Schizosaccharomyces pombe: one gene and its partner. The protein of the gene in region 1 interacts with the protein of each later gene in a biochemical or structural test. Each region holds a gene or a part of one and is shown on either strand. Other genes may lie near its edges.

The links.
Region 2: of the proteins of cdc2 (region 1) and rum1, one has a biochemical effect on the other in vitro, tested with the Schizosaccharomyces pombe proteins (4 studies listed by BioGRID, with this or other methods).

What each region holds. Positions count from the first base shown.
Region 1 is NC_003423.3:1,497,891-1,502,595, reverse strand, and holds cdc2 (cyclin-dependent protein kinase Cdk1/Cdc2), read right to left. Parts: upstream 2,389-4,705; 5' UTR 2,353-2,388; exon of another isoform or gene 2,311-2,352; 5' UTR 2,257-2,310; coding exon 2,220-2,256; exon of another isoform or gene 2,152-2,219; coding exon 1,983-2,151; exon of another isoform or gene 1,911-1,982; coding exon 1,610-1,910; intron 1,509-1,609; coding exon 1,203-1,508; intron 1,149-1,202; coding exon 1,068-1,148; 3' UTR 501-1,067; downstream 1-500. Other genes in the region: protein wwm1, read right to left, coding at 3,181-3,795.
Region 2 is NC_003423.3:2,797,803-2,802,417, reverse strand, and holds rum1 (CDK inhibitor Rum1), read right to left. Parts: upstream 2,742-4,615; 5' UTR 1,830-2,741; coding exon 1,137-1,829; 3' UTR 501-1,136; downstream 1-500. UniProt on the Schizosaccharomyces pombe protein: Regulator of cell cycle G1 phase progression. Ensures the correct sequence of S phase and mitosis in the cell by acting as an inhibitor of the cdc2 mitotic kinase. Probably interacts with cdc2 to inhibit its action until the cell mass for Start is reached.

The DNA of each region.
Region 1 (4,705 bases):
ATTTAATTGGTTACCTTTTTCTATGATTAAAGCATGGAAAGTAAAATGTGCATGCGCAGTTTAATGGAAATGCTCTTCCCTCCATGTATTTGCTCCCTTTTCATTCCTCTCAAGCCTCCAAACAAATTTGTCCTGCGTTTCATCTTTAGACGTTATATTTCCAATATGTCTCGTTTCATTCTGTCCAATTACACTTTGCCAGGTTCAATCGTTAGTATGTATCCATGCATCTAGTGGTTTCTCCTGCGCTGTTTAGTTTTACTTCTTGTTTATACGATTTATTAATTTTGAATTTTTCCAAACGCTCTAGGTATAGACTTAAGCTGTAAATGATGCTCGCTTAGCGTTCAATATAGTGTGAAATACAAATATTCATATCACTTTCATCTTGTAAAATTTAATAAACACGTATGTCTGTTGAACAATAAGCACATTTACGTTCTTTTACCGTTTGCTCGTAAAATTAATTCACCTCTTTGATACTAAATACATCTAAGTAAGTGCAGTTTATATGTTCAGAGCAAACACGAACACTAAAAACTAAAGTCTAAAGAATATACACCTTTTTTAATACTTAAGTATAAAAAATATGTAAATAGAATATAGTATAAATGAGGATTAAAAAACTGGAAAACAAAGGATAAGAGTAAGTAAGAAAAAGGGAGATTAAAAGGCTTCAGTTTTATCAGGAATGAAAGAAAAATAGATTTAAACACTCAGAGCCTGCTTTTGTAAAAAGAACGGCGATAATTCCCTTGACAGTCAAAGAAAGCATTTAAAGTGATATTTACAATAAAGACACAGTAAAGGGAACAGAACTAAAAACGTTACTAAATTCACATTTAATGGCAAGCTCAATATGTCAGTGTTTTTTATATGCCCTGTAAATTGCCCATTGTTTGAGTATGTTTTGAACAAACGCCAAGATTCGAAAAAGAAGGAGGAAAATAAATATTTTCGGTTTATAAATTGAGGTAATTTGTTAATAACTGATATCAAGAAACACAGCAAAGTACAGATAAAGTCAAGGATAGCGTTTTTAAAGGTTTAATAATAAGAGACGAAAATTAATGAAAATCACGAAGATAATTTTGTTGCAAAGCTCGTTTTGCACTAATGCGATGGGCAGGGTCATAAACAAGCATAGCCTTGACAAAATGGTTAGTAATTAGTCTTAAATAGATGGTAATGCAAAATCTTACAGAGAGTAATTCAATAGCGTCCTCTTCACCATTGGGAACAACTTTATGCAAATCCATGCGTTTCCAACGAGGAAATGTGGATTTGTAATCTTGCAAAAGCGTGACTCCAGGCCATACTTCTTCGTTTGGGGTACCTAAAACTTGAAAAATTTTAAAAATTTCGTCGATCTCAGAGTCACCGGGAAATAATGGACTTCGTCGAATCATTTCAGCAAAAATACATCCAACGCTCCAAATATCAACCCCAGTGGAATAATGTCTTGATCCCAACAATACTTCAGGAGCACGATACCATAAAGTGACAATCTAAACGGTTAGCGACACAAATTAATGCTGAAAGACCGTCAGTCAATATTCCAAATTTTTTGGGAATAAAGTCATACAGCCAAGTAAGAAAAAAAATATACCTCATGCGTATAGTTCCGCAAAGGGACACCAAATGACCTCGCAAGTCCAAAATCTGCTAGCTTCAAATTGCCTTCTTTGTCTATCAACAAATTTTGTGGTTTTAAATCGCGATGAATGATTCTTCTAGAATGGCAAAAATTTACACCGTTCACTAGCTGGTAGGTAAACTTTTGAACAAGTCTCGGATCTAAACTAGTGGCCCCAGTTTCTGAAATTCGGTCCATGTATTTTTTCAAATCCATGTCTAAAAACTCAAAAACAAGATACAACTTTGATTCAGCATGTAAAATATCCAAAAGTCTTAAAAAAGGGTTAGAAACAAAGTTTTATCAATGTAAACATTTCCCATGCATCCGTCAAGTAAAAACTTACCGAACACAATTTGATCGATTATTCTCATCATTCACTTCTTTAAGAAGCGAAATTTCACGAATAGCTGTGCTAGGAACTCCCTCAGATTCATCTTCAAGGCGAATTTTTTTCATGGCCACAATACGCCCTGACAATTTATGTCTTGCTTTATAAACAACGCCATAGGTTCCTAGCATTAGTCAGTATACGTGACAGAAAAGAAATTGGATAAGTCATAGCTTCCTCAGTTACACCTACCTTCCCCAATTTTTTCGACTTTTTGATAATTCTCCATTGCAAACCACTAAAAGAAGCAACCTAGCGGTATGTTTTTTGGAAAATAATTTTTCTAATATCTGTTAATAGAGATGCGAGAATGATCTCAAAATACGTTTATACAAATTTGCTTATGTTGTGTTGTGCTGTGGGTAAGCTTGCTCAACTAGCGATAGACTAGTGGAAACGCAGAGGACTATTATCAAACCGAACTTAGGGCTAGCGCTTCATGTTTCTAACTTATGAATTATACTGTTATCAAAAATGAAATTAGAAAAGTAGGACATAACTCATTACTTGCAATTTATACTAGGTGATCAGATATGAAGAACTACATAATCAAAACATCATCTGAAGACATTGTATAACCGTGAATTAAAAAATTGTAAATGTGAATATCAGTCAAAAAAGTGCTATTATTAAATAAATAAATTTACGGTAGGTTGGATTATCCTGAGTTGTCTAATATTTATAGACTAACCCTTTAAGATAAATGTGAAATTGTAAAAACTGTCAAAGACTTCTCCACCTGCTCGCAAAGAAAACAAAACATTTTTTTTTATTTAAAAGAAAAATAAATAAATAAATATCACACTTATAAAAACAAGCAGAATCCGTGTGTATGTCAGAAGTTACAGAGTCATAAAAAAAATCCAGATAGATAAAAAGCATTGCGAAGGAGAAAAGGTAAAAAAAAGTTAATATAAATAATAACTATTACTAGGGAACAGCATTGAATAAGTCAATATTCATTTACGACGAAGACTTTCGAGTTAACCACACTAATGAACTATCCCCGTGTACACACAGGTGTAAAATGAATGATCTTATATTTCTGCAGTAAAATATGTATTAATCGTTCATCTAATGTAATTTTTCTTGCGAGAAACACTTGTCAATAATGCAGTTGAACTCAATAACATAATCGATGCATGAAATTCCCTTAAAAGAAATCATTGCCAAAGTCATTACCTCCATAATCATCAAAATTGTTGTAGTTATTATCATCTACATAAACAACTTCTTCAGGACGATCAAAAGCTTCGTCCATTTCATGCATAGCCAAACCACCGACAAGAAGTCCGCCCAAACCAGTCACCATGGGATTAGACAAGACTCCGCTACGACCTCTTCTTGCAGAAGTAGCAGGCTGGGCATATACGGGTTGTGCGTAGGCAGGCTGGGCTGGGTAATAATTTGGTTGATTGGGATAATAATATGGTTGTTGAGGATAACCGCCCTGAGGGGGATAAGGCTGTGGAGCGGCCCCGTATGCTCTGTTTTGGGAAGCTGCGGGAGCAGGAGCAGGAGCAGCAGAAGAAGCAGAAGCGGCAGGAGTGGCAGGAGCGGCTGAGTTGGAATAAGAAGGAGGCGGTCCACTTGGGGGAGCAGAGTGGTCCACCGAAGGAGGTGGTGGAATAGTTAAACCACGGACCGGACATTCCCATTGCGGCTTTGCTTTGGGATCACTTTCATTAACATAAAAGTAACACTTGTAGCGTTCATCCCACTGAGCGACCCAGCCATTAGGGAGACCTTCACGAGTTTGATAAGCCATAATGGAATTTAAGAAATATGTTGAGTATAAATTGAGAGAAAAGTTTGGAATGAAGGGAATATCTTAAAAAATAATTTTTTTGGTAAAAAAGACAGTTAACAAAAAATAAATGAATTCTAATACTTCTATCTGCTCTGTACGCAAGAAGTAATGGTAACAACAAATGGAAAGAGAAAGAATACTTCTAGATAGTTGGCCTTTTGCAAATGAAAAAGCAATTGATCAAATAAATGAAATTCCGCGTATGATGGTGAGATAATTATAGTGGTTAAGATCGATAAGAAGGTTGGAGAAGTTTGATGCTAGCAGCAGTCATGGAGCTATTCGTGGTGAAAGGTGCCACTAGTATGCTTAATTTCTTAAACTAATATTCAGCTATACAGTGATTCTTATAGGCAGTTTTTTTTTAAATTTGTTATCTATTACATTACATTATAACGAAACTACTTGAGCAATGTAAGTAATCAATATTCATATAGCGATACTTAGCTGTTTCTACAAATCTACAGATATTATACAGGTAATTGAAAGTCTCAAAGAAGTGAAGAAGCGGATAAGTTCATCACTCTTAAACATTACTTTGAAAACCGCCGAACAAAACTTTATAAAGCTTAGAATAAAAATTGAATCACCACGCTGGAAACCCCCTTCTAACAACATAAACTAAATCATGAAGAGCAAAATGATATGATTCTAATTTTATGGATAAAAAGGGTACGGCGGTGAATCCTGTGTCTTGTGAATGTCATTCATTATTTAAAAAAACTTTTTCTGATGATGGTGAATATTCCACTGATTTGATTTATAAAAACCTTGAATACAAGCGGGTATATTATTTGATTTCCTTTTTCACCGCATGGAAAATTGCTATTTATTTCATTAATCCATCGGCTGAAATAATCTTTTCAAG
Region 2 (4,615 bases), 1.3 Mb from region 1:
AAAGCTAAGGAGTGTTCGGATATGCCACAAAATGATTCACTAACTTTTGTGTTATTTTATATGCTCAGTATGGTAGAGGGGAGAAACACGGGTACCATGTAAATATAAGAGTTACGAATTTTTAACGAACTTCACTGTGATGTAAGTGGCTTCCTTGTTGTCATTTTGCAGTGCAAATGTAAATAAAAGTGACATTATGTAAACAAATCATCTTACCGCTCAGGTAACATAAATAAATACATTATTCATCATGCTTCATGGTGTGAAGAAAAAATGTTAGTCAAGTAGAGTCGGTTAGGCCTAATTATTACTTCAATGAACGAAACGATATTACACTATAATTTTACCCAAAGACTCCTTTCATACGCTTAGAACCAGTTTTGTTATCCATTTGTAGGATTTCAGTACCAGCTAGTAAACTTCACTATATCACCAAACCACAAATTAACTCAATGTAACAGCAATACCGTAATGTGTATAACTGTCTAAGAAGCCTAGAATAGTATTGTATATGCGGTATAAAAATACCTTTTTATTACTGGGATAAAACAATTGAATATAAAACTAGTTATTGAGAATAACAGACTATAGTTTCCAAACCAGCAAAAAATTTAGAAATCGAATAGCATTATTAACTAATCGATAAATACAACATTTCAGAATATATTCACTCTCTGAACAAAGAAAAGAAAATTGTGAAAGCCATGTAATATTAGTATAAGTCTTAAAGTAAAAGCTCAGTGGATGAAATTAGGAAATAAGTTAAACGTATAATATTTCAAAGCATGCCGTAAAAGGTTGCTAAAAAAAGTTGCAATGGCTCAGGGCAGACACGGGAGGACGATAAAAAATTAAGTTGCCAAATGGAATATGAATAGGCACAAATGGAAAGATGGGGAAATGTAATTATAGATACTCAATTAAGAAAATCGTGGTGATATTGTGGTGATATTACCATGAATGACTAACGACCAGCGTTTGTCAAAATGCATTTTCATCAAGAATAGAGAATAGGAGGTTCTGATCTACTACCAAAAGTTCAAACGAACGATTATCATGAATAAGGCAGAAGAGTATTTCGTGATTGGGCATTTATATAAACGGTATCAAACACAATTACAAAATGCGAAAAAAAGTTATCGTAATAAATTGTGCCTGTTTTCATCTTTTGTATTAGATCGTGATTTTTGTGGTGATGAATACGCAGGTAAACGCATTTGCGGTGGGGGAGCAACAAAGGAACCTGACGAGGAAGATGGAACCCTTGATTTTAACGAGAACATTTTATTCCCAATAGAATTCAGGTTTGGAGGGAGAATGCCAATTTGAGAATAGTCATTAAGGTCTACAGAGGATGTTGGGTTATCTGAACTAGAAGAAGGCGCCGAGTCAGCAAACAAGAGTTTGGGCTTAAAAGTAGATAAATCAGTTCCAGGCCTGAAGGATTTCTTGATTCTTTTCCCCCGAAAAACATAGTACAAACCATCAGAAGGAGGAGGAGTAGGCTTTCTCTTCTTTCTTGACAAAAGCTGGTTATCAGATGAACTGAGAAAAGGATTGTGTTCTCTGTCTTCTTCCATACATCTTTCTAAAGAATTACTCCGATCTTGTAGCATTAAATTTGGTAGTAATTGCTTTTTGGGAGTTTTAGCAGGTGTAGGTGGAAATGTGCTAACTTGAGGTGCTGGTAAATCGCTTTCAGGGATTTCATCTATCATAATAGAAGAATTACCTTCTAACGAAGCATCGATGACTCCTTTAAAACTCCCAGGAGACTCTGGGGTAGATGGAGTACACAACCCTCGCATAGGTGGTGTTGAAGGTTCCATAGCGAACTGACAATCCAAAAACCAGGTAAATGCAAGAAGAAATCCTTTATGTATCGAGCGGATTATCAGAAGAGCGTGTATTCAAGCTTTCCGATATGATTTAAAAAATGTATTTTTCAATGGTTTTTGGGTGTAGGAAAATTCAGCACCAGAAATGTTCACAAGTTACCTGTAGCAAACGAAAAGGTAACAATTTAATACCCACCAAGCTAGCGACTGCGCTTTGATAATTATACAATTTAAACAATATTTGTAAAATTGTTTGAAATAATATAGAAACAATTGAAATGGCTTCAATATATCAAAAGGAAGGAACAAAATGGGATTGTAGCTTGTAAGAAAGGTATTGAAATTTTCGGAGTAAACAAAAAAAAGGAATCTTTTAGAAAACGGGAATGGGAAAATGTCTATTTTAAAAAGCAAAATTTCACTTCATACCAAGAAGTAAGTGCAGCTAAAATATCAAAGAATCAACCAATCAAAAAAAGATATGTGCCAACTTTAAAATTGTAAATAGAATAATTAACAAGGAAAAATATTCTTTCTAATGTTAGAATTTAAAAACTAGTTGGTTGTTTGCTTAGACGAATTCAACTTTTTCACATAGAAATTGAATGCTCGATTTCTTATAAAGATGCTACCGTTCCTTGTAAAGAGTATAATTCAAAATTAAATTTTAAAAATAAAAAACTGATAAAAAAGCGGATTCTCTTTGACCAAATTCGTACAATTTAGTAATATATTACTGCAGCACTCAAGTAAACACACACGAATCAAGACTAAACAAGATCAATTGATTGTATATTATATATAATCCAAAACAAAAAAATTCAGTTTGCAACAACCGCTGTCAAGGAACCCAAAGCTTATGTATGTAGTAGTAGAACTGTATGTTTGACGTTCTGGTTAACTGGTTATTTGCTCATTTCGTGGTAACCATTACTATTAGATGGCTGTAACGCAGTACGCTAAATTAATTACTTTGATCAAGTACAATTTTTGCATAAATGTGTAGTTAGATTTTAAATGAGAATCGATTTTCTGTTCTCTTTAGCAAAAATCTAAAAAATTTACTAACAATTTTAAGCATCATAGAAATATTCCAGTTCGAAAATAAAAATATATGACTGCAAAACCGTAAATAAAAGTAAACTACATTTGAAGTTCTAATAAAGAAGAAACTTCGCGAGTATGGTAAATGAAATAAGTCTCTTATTGTTATTTAAAAGCAAGTACTATCAAAACTAATTCAAGGGATATTTCGTTAAGATTGTTCCTTATTAGCAAATTGATGGTATAAGCAATATTTATTACCTTAGCTCAAATGCAGGAAAAATGGATTTATGAAGAATCGACTATCTTTCAAACACCATTTTCAAATCGAAATGGGAACAGCAATATGCAAAGTAAATACACGGTTGCTACATCGCTAAGTATTTCCAAAATATATCACAATTGTTAAAAATTAAATCGTGACAATGTTTATTTATGTGTTTAAGGAATACGCTACTAACATAATTTATCAAAAAATATTATAAACATATTGGTCAATAATTAAAATATTCATAAATGAATGTTCATGTTATGACTTATTTTACGCTTCATTACCTATTGTTTACAATAAATAGTATCAATGCATTTGCCAAATGAAACAATTAAAATGATAGGTTCGTTAAATTAAAAATTAAAAATATGTTTCCTCTTCAAAAACTATTATCAAAATGTAATGCACATAACTAACTCTTTATTCAATTCATTTCTTCTTCTCTGCCTGTGTAAACACTAACCTCTGCCTCATATTTCCTATCGTTCTTATTCTAAGGGACAACTGGAGTCGCTGCAATTTTCTTTTCAAACTGTTTCATTTAATTTATTATATTTTTTGTAAAAAAAAATAAAAACAACCTTCGTCTACTCTTTGTACTGAATTTCTTTAAACAATTCGCACATCTTCAATCGAATACTTTGTTAGGCTTAAATTGCACACAAGAAATTATTTTCTATACTTGAGTTAATTATATATTTTTTAGTGATTTTTTCTTGTCTTCAGTTAATAGGATAGTCTATCTTTTTCTTTGAACATGACATCTGAATTGCAACAAGAACTACAGATTTTAAGGAGCTTTAATTACACTATAGAAAAGCTTACGGATGGTCTTTCTGCTTCTAAAGAAAAAATAAAGTCATTCGAAACCTCCATTAACAACTCGAATCGTCTAATACAATTATGGTCATCGGTTCTAAGCCAAACGGAGCATACTCAGAATCTAATACTAAATAGCGACTGGAAAGGTTTGTCTTTTGATAATGAAGAATTAGAAAGATTGCAACATCAAAAAATGCTTCAAATACAAGCCGAAGAGCAGAGAAAGATCGAATTACAACAAGAACAAGAACGACTTGAACAAGAACGAAGGCAAAAAGAGGAAGCTATAGCTCTTCAAAAACAACAGCAGCAAAGGTTATTAAGGTCTAAAGATCCAAAGGTCCGACCTGCAAGAAGAGCCGCATCTTCATATGTACCTTCTAGGCCTTCCCATGTTCCCAAGGTCTTCATCCATGAATGTGCGTTCTCGGGTTAGCATGGCTACGACTTCTAACCCAAACTCACTTAGGACTCCTTCTTCATCTTTTGCAAGTCATCGCCAATCCGCAATTCCAAAATCGGCCACCTCCTCTGCTCCTACTATACCAACATCCAACTTGCCATCCGTAGCAAGTTCGATTCCTAATAATGGTCTCAATTCTTCAAATAGAAAAAGTATAATTTCTAAAACTTCCTCTAG